2 linked regions of the Saccharomyces cerevisiae S288C genome follow. The protein of the gene in region 1 binds, or shares a complex with, the protein of each later gene. Each region holds a gene or a part of one and is shown on either strand. Other genes may lie near its edges. The genes, in order: PCF11 and RNA15.

Region 1 (7,222 bases):
TGACTTGTCCAATTCTCAGTTGGCCAAGAAGCAAGAACGGGCTACTTTGAAAGAGGCTTGGGACTCGATCAGATGGAGTGATTTTAGTTTGCAGAAGCTGACTTCAATCCCGTGCTTCAGAGACGCGGGCATGCTCGGGTTTTCCAGCATGTTCTTGATGGGATCTATTATATTTATATACCATAAGAGCCCGACTAAGGCCACGAATTGGGCGATGAGCTCTCTGATACTGGGCTCGATTGTCGGATGGGAGCAATGTAGGCTAAAGAGACAAAAAAGTTTCCAGATCGCACAATTGGCAAAGGAAACCGTGGCGAAAAAGGAAAAACCAATGCTCCATAATGTCCCTCATGACCCATCTCTGCCGGGGCAATGGGAGGCCGCCAAAAATGAAAAGCAGAGTCAGTTTGAACAAAGTAACCAGAATTTATCTCAGGCCTCCTCTGAGAAGAAATGGTACAAGTTCTGGTGAAAAGAACGAGGGGGAAACAGAAGGTAGAAGCAGGGCCTTTTAACCGTTTTCCTATGTATATATGCAACATTTCTCCGAAAATACTATAACTTCAATTGTTCACTTTCTCCATTTCTATATAAAAAGCATACATAGAGTTACAAATTTTATATATTACTTGACTGGTCTTGCATGCCGTCCGTATCGCTGCTGTGATTGTCATTATCTTCTTTAATGGACAATTGTTTAAACGTTTGTGTGGTTTCCTCGGCAGAGTTTCTCGTAGGCGGTAAAGAAAATGAATTTTCTGTTCCCATCAAATTGTCTGTATCCTCATCTTCGCCATTTTTGCCGCCGCCATTGTTTCGTACCCCGTCCTTGTTTGAACTTGACTGTGAATGATTCGGTGTGGATACCGTTGAGGACCCCTTGGATTTGGGTAAAGATGTTTTTGATGTGGAAGGTTGGCTGGTTCCTTCTAGTAGTTCATTGAGCACCACGTCATTCCCACCCGTTTCCTCATCGCTGTTGTATGCTTCTCCAGCAGTCTCTCCATCACCACCGATGGTCCCGTATGGCCCATCTGCTTTTTTGCTGAAGGGGTCGTCTGCATCACAAAGTAGTTCGTCTAGCCCGCCTCCAGACCAACCTTTCCTTGCAATATTTTCAGAAATTTCCACTTGTGCCCTAGATACCGTGGCAACTTTGCTGAGTACTTTGTTGCATGTATTTTCCACAAGTTCGTATGAATCCATGTAAAAATCGTGCTTTAGTGTCTCCAGTTGATCTAACCTTGCTTGCAAGCTAGAAAGGCTCTCTCGGTATGAGATTAAATTCCTTATTTTTCTTTTCGAGATATCGAAGTTATGTCTTTCCTGCAATTTCAATTTTAAACTTTGCTCTTTGCTTTGTGCTTTGAACTTGTTCTCCATTATCTTGGTCTGTAATTCGAATTCATCAATATCATCAATTAAATTATCTCCCAACAAGTCATTGAAATACTTTGACATTATAAGCTGATGATTAGATAAAAGGTAGAATAACCCACTGGCACTCAATAGTTTCTCCGCCGTTTCATCATTGCAACCCTTCAACTTGGCAATGTTTTCTAAGGAATGGGCAATTTCTGCCCCATTCTGAGATGTCTTTAATAACGAATCCGAATAAGCATTCGAGTTCCTGAGTAATGTCGATAGGGCTTCCTGGGTCTCTTTCACATCTCTCTTTGTGATTAGCGTTTGCAAGTCGTTTATTGTGCTCGTACCAGAAGTTATGCTCGATGCCCGACGGGCCTTTGAATACACTTTGGATGAACGTAAATGGTTCATGTCGTCCAGATGGTCGTTATTTTCTGAGCCAGCACTGCTAGCCACTGGTCTTTTACTATTTACAATTGGGTAAAATTCAGATAGATGAGGCGCGTATCTGTCGGGAGAGACGTCAAAATGGTTACCGTTGTCCCAGTCAACCCTCAGTCTCTGGTCACTTGAAGGAGATCCCTGCAATTGCTCCGTATTATTGTCAGGCATATCCGATTTCTCTTCCTGTTACTTTCTTTAACAATATTTTATTCCTTGGTGAAATTTAATTGACCCTTTATTCAGAATATATACTTCTATTGTATGGATATGGTTTTTTTCCACTTAATGTTTAGCATAAATTTCCATCTCACCCTTTTCTTGTAACATATCGCCCAATATTTTTTTCTTTTGCCCGCATTGACCATTTTTTCCTGTAAAACGAGTAATGTGAGCAGTAGAATAAGTGTATATCATCCGTTAAATAAGGCGCAATCTACCGAAGTTTGAGATCTAACTCAAGTTTTTATAAATTAGATACGTTTTTCCTTACTATTCTACATGAGATGGCCATTAGCATGAGATGACTTCAATACGCACTTCTGTTGGAACGCAGATAGGATGTTTACACTCGTCTGCTCTATTCTTTGTACTTTCAATAGAGCAAAGCAAGTGGTACCAATGAAGAGAAGGCCCAGCTGTTTTATTCCAGCGGCGAAGAAGTCTAGCCTATTCCTAATGTATTAGTACAGCTATACAGAACTTTCTCAGTCTAATTTTTGATGTACTTTTATACATAGATTTACACACTTTTCAAAACGTACTTACGTAGTCGGTTCAAGGGATACACCAATTTAGCCAATGAAGCTGGGCCCCAAGTGATCAGAGTTTCGTAATTGAGCTAGGATTTGCTGCTTTTTATTCCCTTTATCACCAAATGGTATTACCTAGTGCATCTAAGTTTTAGTTTACCCGGGCGAATTTTTTTTAAGGACTCGACGCATTGGATGAGAACTTGGCCTAAGGCATGGGAAGAAAGCGAAATTTCAAAAATTAATGAGACAATGTTGTTCTACTGTTAAGGGTTTAGTAGTTTAAAAGTCTCTCTTTCAATTTTGCATTGCAAAGAATTACCAGGACAATTTTCGGAGCAGTTAAGAAAACTGTACTTGAAAACACTAGGTCTATTTGTAATACTCTCTTTTCATTATGGATCACGACACAGAAGTTATAGTCAAGGATTTCAACAGTATTCTTGAAGAATTAACTTTTAACTCGAGACCCATTATTACCACTCTCACGAAGTTAGCAGAAGAAAACATTTCGTGTGCTCAATATTTTGTTGACGCCATTGAGAGTAGAATTGAAAAATGTATGCCTAAGCAGAAGCTATACGCTTTTTATGCCTTGGACTCCATTTGTAAGAATGTTGGCAGCCCATACACAATCTACTTCAGTAGAAATTTGTTTAACTTGTACAAAAGAACATACTTATTGGTGGACAACACCACAAGAACAAAACTCATCAATATGTTTAAGCTTTGGTTGAATCCTAATGACACCGGCCTGCCTCTGTTTGAAGGCTCAGCACTGGAGAAAATTGAACAGTTTTTAATAAAGGCCAGTGCTCTCCACCAGAAAAACCTGCAAGCAATGTTACCAACTCCGACTGTTCCCCTCCTATTAAGAGACATTGATAAATTAACTTGTTTAACTAGTGAAAGGCTAAAGAATCAACCAAATGATGAAAAATTAAAAATGAAACTGTTGGTTTTATCTCAGTTGAAACAAGAACTGAAAAGAGAAAAACTAACTCTCAATGCTCTGAAACAAGTTCAAATGCAACTAAGGCAGGTCTTCTCACAGGACCAACAAGTTTTGCAGGAAAGAATGAGGTATCACGAACTTCAGCAGCAACAGCAACAACAGCAGCAACAGCAACAACAACAACAGCAGCAGCAGCAGCAGTATCACGAAACTAAGGATATGGTCGGTTCTTACACACAAAACTCTAATTCAGCGATTCCATTGTTTGGAAATAATTCAGATACAACGAACCAACAGAATTCTTTATCTTCCTCTCTTTTTGGTAATATTTCTGGCGTTGAATCTTTTCAAGAAATTGAGAAAAAAAAGTCCCTAAACAAAATCAATAACCTCTATGCATCTCTTAAGGCTGAAGGGCTCATATATACTCCACCAAAAGAATCCATCGTAACGCTTTATAAAAAGCTAAATGGACACTCAAACTACTCTCTTGATTCACACGAAAAACAATTGATGAAGAACCTGCCAAAGATACCCTTATTAAATGATATTCTTTCTGACTGCAAAGCTTATTTTGCCACGGTTAACATCGACGTTTTGAATAACCCATCCCTGCAGCTGTCCGAACAAACTCTTCTTCAAGAAAATCCCATCGTCCAAAATAATCTTATTCACTTATTATACCGATCCAAGCCAAATAAATGTAGCGTGTGTGGTAAGAGATTTGGCAACTCAGAAAGTGAAAAACTACTACAAAATGAGCATTTGGACTGGCATTTCAGAATAAATACAAGAATTAAGGGATCACAAAACACAGCAAATACAGGCATAAGCAACTCTAACTTAAATACAACTACCACAAGGAAAAATATTCAATCAAGAAACTGGTATTTGAGTGACTCTCAATGGGCAGCCTTCAAAGATGATGAAATTACCTCCACAAAGCATAAAAATGATTATACTGATCCGCATGCCAATAAAAATATCGATAAAAGTGCCCTAAATATTCACGCTGATGAAAATGACGAAGGCTCTGTAGACAACACTTTAGGAAGTGATAGAAGTAACGAGTTGGAAATACGGGGAAAATATGTTGTTGTACCAGAAACTTCACAAGATATGGCCTTCAAATGTCCAATTTGTAAGGAAACCGTTACTGGCGTTTATGATGAAGAATCTGGTGAATGGGTTTGGAAAAATACTATTGAAGTGAATGGCAAATATTTCCACTCGACATGTTATCATGAAACGTCGCAAAATTCAAGCAAATCTAATAGTGGCAAGGTCGGTTTGGATGACTTAAAGAAATTGGTCACAAAATAAGAGCAGAACTGCATATATACATTTAAATTTAATAACTATATATTATATTAAATTCTTTGTTCTTGGTATTTGATGGGTTGCTCATTTGTTTATTTTTTTTTTTTTTTTTTTTGCTTATGTGTCCATTATATTATATGTAATTTTACATATGTAGCCAAAAGCCCAACTAATCATTAAAATCGATTAAAGACCGTAAAGTAAATTGTTCATTATAGAAGAAAACGACAAAGAAAAACAGGGTACACTTCGTTACTGGTCTTTTGTAGAATGATAAAAAGTCAATACGGTTTTATCTCCTTATTCACTTGAAAATCTTTTTCCATCAATTTGTTAATTTTAGCATCTTTTTCAGATATTTGACTTCTCGCATTTTCAAGACATTTCTTTGTAAAAGTTAAATCACCTTGAAGTGAAGTTATTCTAATTTCATTCCTCATAACTTCATCTGACAAAGACCGAATAATTTCATTTGCAACAGCCAATTGTTTTTCCTTTTCATCCAGCGCCGATGCTGCTTTCGACAAAACGATATCCACAAAGGAAAGACCATCTTCTTTCATGTCCTTCGAACATTCGGTGACACTATCCTTATTATCAATTTCAAGTTCTGTTTTTTGGGTTGATGTGTACATATTTGATTGTTGAGTACCAGTTTGTGAATGTGTTCCTAAAACGTCAACACTAGTTAAAATTTCTGTTGTATTACTGTCTGTTATATCGTCGAGTTGTTTCACTCGACGATCTTCAACGATTGGAACCCTTTTTCCAACAGAAAAATAGCCGTAGGACGCAGGTCTTGAGAAAGAGAGTGAGATGTTTTCTGATGCGTGCTTCCCATTTCCAGGGATTATTTTTGCTTTGTTAGAATTAAAAATACTGTCGAATTGCTTCTTTTCTGGTAGGGTTTTCGTTTCCATTGTGCTCAGCTGCACCAAAGACTTCACATCTGGCGGAGAAGAAGGCTTCACATTTTTAACCATTAACGGTTTTTTTGTAATTTGCAGTATATCCTTAGGCATAATTTTGGCATCTGCCATATGCTCGGGCTCGACCACATGTGGTTTGACCGACGTGGATATAGAAACAGGTTCACAGGACTTCTGAATATCAAATCCCATGTTGGAAACAAATCTCTGAGTCTTCATAAATGACCAAAATCTGGCTTTTTTTGCATCAGGCTTGTTCTGTAATTCGTTGTAGTAAATCTTAATTTCAGAACTCATTGGGTAATCTTCTATTTCACCTTTCAGTATAATGATGTCACTCTCTCTAAAATTATTGGAAATTGCTGATTTAAGGTTGTTAGCAAATATATCTTTAAGTAACTGCATTTTTTCGTTAATTATTTGTCTATCACTGTCGGAAAGCTCCGAAGGGAACTCATCAACCAACGAAACGGAAATAAGTTTCAAATTTGCAAGCCATTCTTGCCTCCAAGAGCTTTTTGAAAGGTTCTCCTTCGTGTTTTTGGGTTTGCTAGAATTAGTATCACTATGCGACACTCTTCTATTGCTTTTAGTAGGCGTGGTACTTAGCTTTGTTTCTTCGAATCCTAATGGAGAAGACACGGTTGGAATTTGGGATGGTTTAGCGGAAGAAGAATTTTGTTCTTGGCTATGTTTCCCTATATTGATATTTTTATTGGTCACATCATTTTTTTCAGTGTTATTTGTGTTTTCAAATGTAGAAACTGCATATAATGGCAAATATTGTAATCTGTCCTTCTTGTGCACTTGTTGGTAAAAGAAAGCACTTGATGTTTCATAGTTTTCAACAGAGCAAATGTCGTTAGTCACACTAGTTAATGGATTGCCACTTAAATAACTATGTTTTGGGATCCCTTGTTCAATAAGGTCAGTTATTGTTTCTTTATCGTATGTCGTTTTATCAGCTATCCTCCAAAGAATGTTTTTCGTCAATTCACGATCAGATTTTCGCCAATCCAATACAGGATCAAACCATTTGCCTGCCTGAATTTGGTCCTTTTCAGCACTTGTATCTAAATCATTAGTTACTTTGATTTCATTTGATTCACCAGAGCTTAAACTTTCCAAGTCAGTTAGGCTATCATTATCTGAAGAAGAATCGTCTGAGTCGGACACGTATACCAGCTCCATTTTTCCCGGGTGAGTTATTATCGTATTCATTCTCCCACGGCAGATCTTCTTTTTTTCAATTTGCTCATCCTCTGTATGATTTGCGAAAGATTTCTTTGAAGGTTGAGATAGAGAAACTGGAAAATTATCGCTATACTCATGCTTACTTGCACTAACTGGCTGAGATAGAGACACCTTATCAGTCTTATTTTCTGGCTTTTCAGTGGAAGCGATAGTTTCCAAAAAATTGGCTTTTTCTTTTGACAGAGCATCACTAGAAAAAGGTT
Region 2 (6,588 bases), on another chromosome or scaffold:
TGCGGGGTTCTATACGATGATGGTACTATTAATAGAGAACGTAGTGTCTCTAGATTAGCAGCTGTGGCAGTTAACTACGCTAAAGCTGGTGCGCACTGTGTGGCTCCCAGTGATATGATCGATGGTAGGATCAGAGATATTAAACGAGGCTTAATAAATGCAAACTTGGCTCACAAGACCTTCGTGTTATCCTATGCAGCTAAGTTTAGCGGTAATCTATATGGGCCATTCCGTGATGCTGCTTGTTCAGCTCCTTCGAATGGTGATAGGAAATGTTACCAATTACCTCCTGCCGGTCGTGGCCTGGCACGTAGGGCGTTGGAAAGGGATATGAGTGAAGGTGCCGACGGTATTATTGTTAAGCCTTCCACTTTCTACTTAGATATAATGAGGGATGCAAGTGAAATTTGTAAAGACTTACCAATCTGCGCATATCACGTGTCGGGCGAATACGCAATGTTACATGCTGCAGCTGAAAAAGGTGTTGTTGATTTGAAGACAATTGCCTTTGAATCTCATCAAGGTTTCTTGAGGGCGGGTGCCAGATTAATCATCACTTATTTGGCTCCTGAGTTCCTAGACTGGTTAGATGAAGAAAACTAAAAAAAAACGTGCTTACCTTGTGAATAGTAAAAATAATGATGTCAATATGACAAATGTAACAGTGCTGGCAGTATATCCCTATTTGGCAAGCTTTATAATATGCAAAGATGCGACCTAGTATACGATACAATGGAAATTATGTAATCCTCCTAATGAGTATTTATGTAGTAGTACGTAATATTTATACACGGAAGGCGCTAGTAAGACAGATAGGTAATGTTTTTTTACTTTCACCTCTCATTTTTTCTTCTCAAGGCCTAAAACGGTCATTAGCGGGGCCAGTTGTTCAGGTCCTAACTGTATGCCAGATTTTTCCAATTCCAATTTAAATTCCTTCATAGCGTGTCTCAGATCTCTGTCCATTAAGATCTTAATCATTTGCCATGGTTTCATCGTATTTTCTTCATTGGCAGAAGTCCCATCTAGATTAACCAATTTTTTTTCGATCATGATATTGCTAACCTTTTCTAACTTTTCCAGAACATTAGGCCTCGAATTTATTTGATCCATGAGTTTCTGCACCTTTATGTGTGCATCTATTTTGTCATTAGGCTGTCTGTCGTCCCAAGATTGAGCGTAAAATCTTCTCGGAGAAATCCAGGAAAGCCTCCTTAAACTCCTGGTGTGATTAGTGGTAGAAATGTTCGATAGTTCTATCGAACGAGTGACTCTGGAACTATGCTTCCATATAACTCTTAGCATTATGTGTGGCTGTAGTATCTACTTTCTGCTTCTTGTGTTTATTCTAACTTTTTATTCGTCGGTTTTGTTACATCTTAAATTGTATTTCTTTAGTTCTGACCGAGCCATATTTAATGCATAGAAGATTAATAAAGAAAACATGAAAATCATAAATAATTAAAAGTAACTGGACGAACAAAAGATTTTACGTGAGACAGACAAAAAAAATTAACACCAGCAGTATATGTATATATGTACATCGTATATGAATATGCCATTTCAACAAATTGGATATGGTTGTATGTTTGGCTTTTTCTTTTCCTGGATTCCGGCTGTCAAATACTACTACGAATAGAGTCAGAACAGGCTTTTCTGTCCCTTCCTCCTATTGTTTCCTTTGCTCTGTCCGTGGCTACTCTCATCTTTTTCTATTCTAAGAGAATTTCCATCTGTTACCACATGCTTCACATGTACAGAAAGTGGTCAATGGTTCATCCGCAGATCTTGTTTGCAATTGATAGTAAGATACCTTCTTCTCTTTACATTTACCACATGTAAATCTATCGGTGACTGACCTTTCTATGGTGGCACCCTGTGCGTTGTATAAGTTTTGCTTGGCAATTTCTTCTATCTTTTGCTTTAAGGGCGCTGGTGCCAGATCCTTGGCATCGCATGTAGCTAAGAATTCAGGTGTTATATCACCGTTGGCAATTTTATGTTTGAGATCTGGGTTATTCTTTGATATGACGTTTGAATAAATTATACGATACCTGGCTTTGTAAGCGGCTTCGTTGGTGTCACAGTTGTTAACTTTATTCATTTCACTTTCTATGGCCTTTGCAGTATGCAAAATAGATTGAGGTGGATGCTCACTTTCCTTGGCCAAAACGTCGTAGAGTGCTTTTAGTACCTGATCACGTAATTTGTGGTGGTATATAGCTGTATCCACACCATCGTTCTTACTATTTCTTGGTTTAGTGCTGACGTACTTGTCTTGTTTCATGGCATCTGACTGGGAGGAGGCCGGCTGTTGAACACCATTCACGGACTCACCTACAGTTGTCTTGTCCTCTGCATTGCCTGGCGCATGATCTTGATGATGCTGCTGTGCTTGCCTGGAACGCTTATTTTTATTAATTGCGTCTTTCCAAGAGCTAATCATTTTCTTCACGAGTTTGCTGATCTCTACATTAGTGGATTTTTTAAACTTGTTGACTTCCACACCAACTTTTGTTTCTCTCAGTAACTTTTCAGTGGGGACGAATTCTTTATCCAAGACATGTAAGATTTCTAGAACTGCAGCATCATTACTTTTGTTCTTTTCTAGATTCTTAACATGTACCAGTACTTCCTTACTATCCATGATGAATGCTCTTATGCGGACTGACTACACTGTGAATGTTCTGCTGCTTGAGTAATTTTTCATTCAATATTTTTCAATACGTAGTCCCATCATCGAGTGATCACTTGGTCATATCAGCACAGTGGGGCGGGTAAGAGTTGAAAATTTCCCTATAATGAAATTGGATATTATATATCAAAAAGGCGTTGTCATTCGAAGCATCGTTTCAAAAGAAGGTCCGTAAAGTTAAGGTGGGCTAGTGAAGTATCTCATAATTGTTACAATCACCATAAGAGAAATCTTGCGTTTAGAATTTCCTAAGAGAACCGAGTCACTTCTAGCACTTGCTTTAAACAGAAACACTTGTAATAATTGTTAGAGGGATATACAAGAAAGGCTATATACCAATAGCATCACATAGACACGTTAATTATCAATACATTGAAAGAAAAGACGAAAACGATAAAATGAATAGGCAGAGCGGTGTGAATGCGGGGGTACAGAACAACCCACCATCCCGAGTGGTGTATCTGGGTTCTATACCATACGATCAAACAGAGGAGCAGATACTTGATTTATGTAGTAATGTTGGGCCCGTGATCAATTTGAAAATGATGTTCGACCCCCAAACTGGTAGGTCGAAAGGGTACGCGTTTATTGAATTTAGAGATTTAGAGTCCAGTGCCAGCGCAGTACGTAATTTGAATGGATACCAATTAGGCTCTAGGTTTTTGAAATGCGGTTACTCCAGCAATAGTGATATATCGGGAGTTTCACAACAGCAACAACAACAGTACAACAACATTAATGGGAACAATAACAACAATGGAAATAATAATAATAATAGTAATGGGCCGGACTTTCAAAACAGCGGAAATGCCAATTTTCTAAGTCAAAAGTTTCCAGAATTGCCCTCTGGTATCGACGTTAACATAAACATGACCACCCCTGCTATGATGATATCGAGCGAACTAGCTAAAAAACCGAAAGAGGTGCAGTTGAAATTTTTACAAAAATTCCAAGAATGGACAAGAGCGCATCCTGAAGATGCTGTTTCGCTATTAGAGCTGTGTCCACAGTTGAGTTTTGTTACGGCTGAATTATTGCTAACGAATGGGATATGTAAAGTGGATGATTTGATCCCGTTAGCTTCCAGGCCGCAAGAAGAGGCATCGGCTACGAATAACAATAGCGTGAACGAGGTGGTGGATCCAGCTGTGCTTAACAAACAGAAAGAACTACTGAAACAGGTGTTACAACTGAATGACAGTCAAATTTCTATCTTGCCCGATGATGAAAGGATGGCTATTTGGGACTTAAAACAAAAAGCATTAAGGGGAGAATTTGGTGCATTTTGAAACTAGGGAGGCAAAAATACAAAAAAAAAATGCGGTTCCGCAATGATGAGGCAACAATCTATCATATTTTCCACGTGAGGGAGCTCAAAGTTCGGTATATAGCTTACATCTCAATATCACAATCACTTTTTTTTTTGACGTCTTTATAAATATAGAATAACGTTTACGTTACTGCTATTTTTTCGTTTCTTATCTCAGTTTGCCTGAGGACGGCTATAGTTTTAATCATTAAACGTATATTAAGTACACATGAACATATATAAATCTCAGGTTTGTGCATGCTTCGATTTTTTTTTTCTATGTTAATGTCATGGATCATTACGTGGCTGGGATAGTGGAAATATGCAAACATGATTAAGGCGCCTAGTTCCAACACGGCGCAAGCTGCGAGTATATGACTTGTTACCTGCACTTTTTAATAGTCATCACAAGGGGGAGGATCGCTTTCTAACTGTTGTAGTCTTTTTTGTTCAAGTTCTTGTTTGTCTTCCGACGGTACACTGACTTTATCATTTGGCGAATACTTTGGAACTGGAACATCGTCACTATCATATGCATTTAATGGGGCCAACCAATCTCTTAAATTCGATGGAGAATTTTGAGGAGCCGTGATTGAGGATTGGGATGGGATGCTTGCATCAGATTGCTGCTGTTCGGATCTCGTCGTTCCTATGACGGTTTCTATGGACATACCAGTTACATTCCTCAGTCTCTTTAGCTTTTCCACATTTACCATATCTTTGAAAAATATACTGGATTCATAACCCTCAGAATCGTTCTCCAACGTTTCTGGATTGACCATACGTAGCATTTTCCTTTGGATACGGTTGATATTATTCTCTACGCCCAAGCCATTTTGTTCTCCAATAGGAGTTCCTATTATTCTATTAGATTCTGTGTAAACCACGTTTTTTTTTGATAAGTTAACCATAACCTCGATATAGTATTGGAAGGAGAAAAATTTTCCCACAGTAGTAAGGGTCGAAAATGCATCAAGGGGCACTTTCAGATAAACTCTAGATTGAAACTGCAACGTTTCAGGGTTAATATATATAGGAGAGATACTCTGACATATATCTTTTCTGAAAGTCTCCATAGGATCATCTTTGCCTGCACCGCCCACCCTACATATCCTCACCAAAGTGGTGGTGAGACCCGCAGGGGCATAGAAAGGCTTATAGTGGTCAATCTTAACGTCTATAGGGATAATTTCACCAATCATGAATCCAGCCTGCGGTATGTCTACGGATATAGTCACCGTTTTATTTGGTAAGGGGGACGTCTTGGAGTTTACTGAACTGCTAGAAGAATTAGAAGTAGTAGACTTTTGAGTTAATTGTGTATACGATGAGGATTCGTCCTCTGTAGATTTGTTCTTTTTGTTTTGGACCATAGATGCTGATTGTAAAACCACTGTCTTAGTTTTCGGCTTGGGCAGCCTCGAGACGTCCAGCGGAACTATGACTGCAAACTCACGTTCGCATCTTGCTTCCGGTTTTTTTAATCCGTTGATGTTGTTGAGGGATTCTAAAGTGCAAGAGAGGAAGTATGTTATCGAGCCCCTTTCGAACTTTATAGAGCTCAACATTCCTCTGCCTCGTGGTATTCGTATCCTAAAGGGAAACCTGTGTTCCCCCTTGCTTAAACCATTGAGAATGGTGGTTTTGTCAACATGCGGTTTCTTTTCCTTAGCCGAAAAAGCTGTCTTTACGTAGTCCTGTCCATAAAGAAACGTCGACTTCTCTAAGGTTTTCTCAATTCTCTTATTCTTGGAGGTTGGACTGTTCCCCGTTTTCACGCGAACCTCACATACTAGCGATAATTTGATCGCTACGTTAGTTATGTCTCTCTTTATGTCAATGACCGCTTCTCCGGTTATGCTTTCATTCGGTTTCCATACTCTATGCGGTTCGTCTATGTCTATACGAAATTGCTTCACGTTGTTATGGGCCAGCATGCTGTTGCCGTAACTGCCAACAATACCATGACTCTTTATTTTTGATGGTGCCCTTGATTCTTTGTTCCACAGTCTCAGTAACGACATGTTTGGTCAATGCTACCGATAGTGAGGGTGATGCTGATGATACTATACTAGCGTACTTTGGCTTTAACGTTAAAATCTTGTACGTGCGTGAGATGATGCGTATTCGGGGATGTCTATTTTCTATTTTTTTTTTTTCTTCGTCTAGATTGTTACTTTTGACTCAATAGAGCTTAGACAATAATACTATAAGGAACTTTGAAGAAGAAATCAAATGTAAGGGGAAAAGGAAAGGGTATAAGCCTAAGAAAAATGGCACCTGCAGAAATTGCTAGACAGTAGAACGTGTTTTGAAGCCAATCGTTGGGATTGGAGCGGAAAAGTCCAAGAACAAATAACGAAGAAAGAAAACAAAGAAAGGCGATTAAGTAAAGTGGTAGTAGAGCAAGTACGAGAGAAGAGGAAGAGGCTTAGACACAAAAAAATACTATGTTTATTTAAACCAGACAGATAGCAAAGGAAGAAAGAAAGGGGAAAAAGAATAGAAGAGAAGAAACTTAAAAAAGGCCAAGGAAATTCCGGTACTTGGCATTTCGTACTCTGAGTGCGTGCGACCTGCAAGC

What was found.
Region 2: PCF11 (region 1) and RNA15 share a complex: the UniProt entries of both Saccharomyces cerevisiae proteins name them as parts of the CFIA complex.

What each region holds. Positions count from the first base shown.
Region 1 is NC_001136.10:919,543-926,764, reverse strand, and holds PCF11 (Pcf11p), read left to right. Parts: upstream 1-2,958; coding exon 2,959-4,839; downstream 4,840-7,222. Other genes in the region: COX20 (Cox20p), read left to right, coding at 1-472; IVY1 (Ivy1p), read right to left, coding at 619-1,980; chromatin-silencing protein SIR4, read right to left, coding at 5,118-7,222. UniProt on the Saccharomyces cerevisiae protein: Component of the cleavage factor IA (CFIA) complex, which is involved in the endonucleolytic cleavage during polyadenylation-dependent pre-mRNA 3'-end formation and cooperates with cleavage factor NAB4/CFIB and the cleavage and polyadenylation factor (CPF) complex.
Region 2 is NC_001139.9:413,542-420,129, reverse strand, and holds RNA15 (Rna15p), read left to right. Parts: upstream 1-3,093; coding exon 3,094-3,984; downstream 3,985-6,588. Other genes in the region: porphobilinogen synthase HEM2, read left to right, coding at 1-603; DPC13 (Dpc13p), read right to left, coding at 841-1,305; YGL041C-B (uncharacterized protein), read left to right, coding at 1,244-1,426; transcription elongation factor DST1, read right to left, coding at 1,718-2,647; RIM8 (Rim8p), read right to left, coding at 4,400-6,028. UniProt on the Saccharomyces cerevisiae protein: RNA-binding component of the cleavage factor IA (CFIA) complex, which is involved in the endonucleolytic cleavage during polyadenylation-dependent pre-mRNA 3'-end formation and cooperates with the cleavage factor NAB4/CFIB and the cleavage and polyadenylation factor (CPF) complex.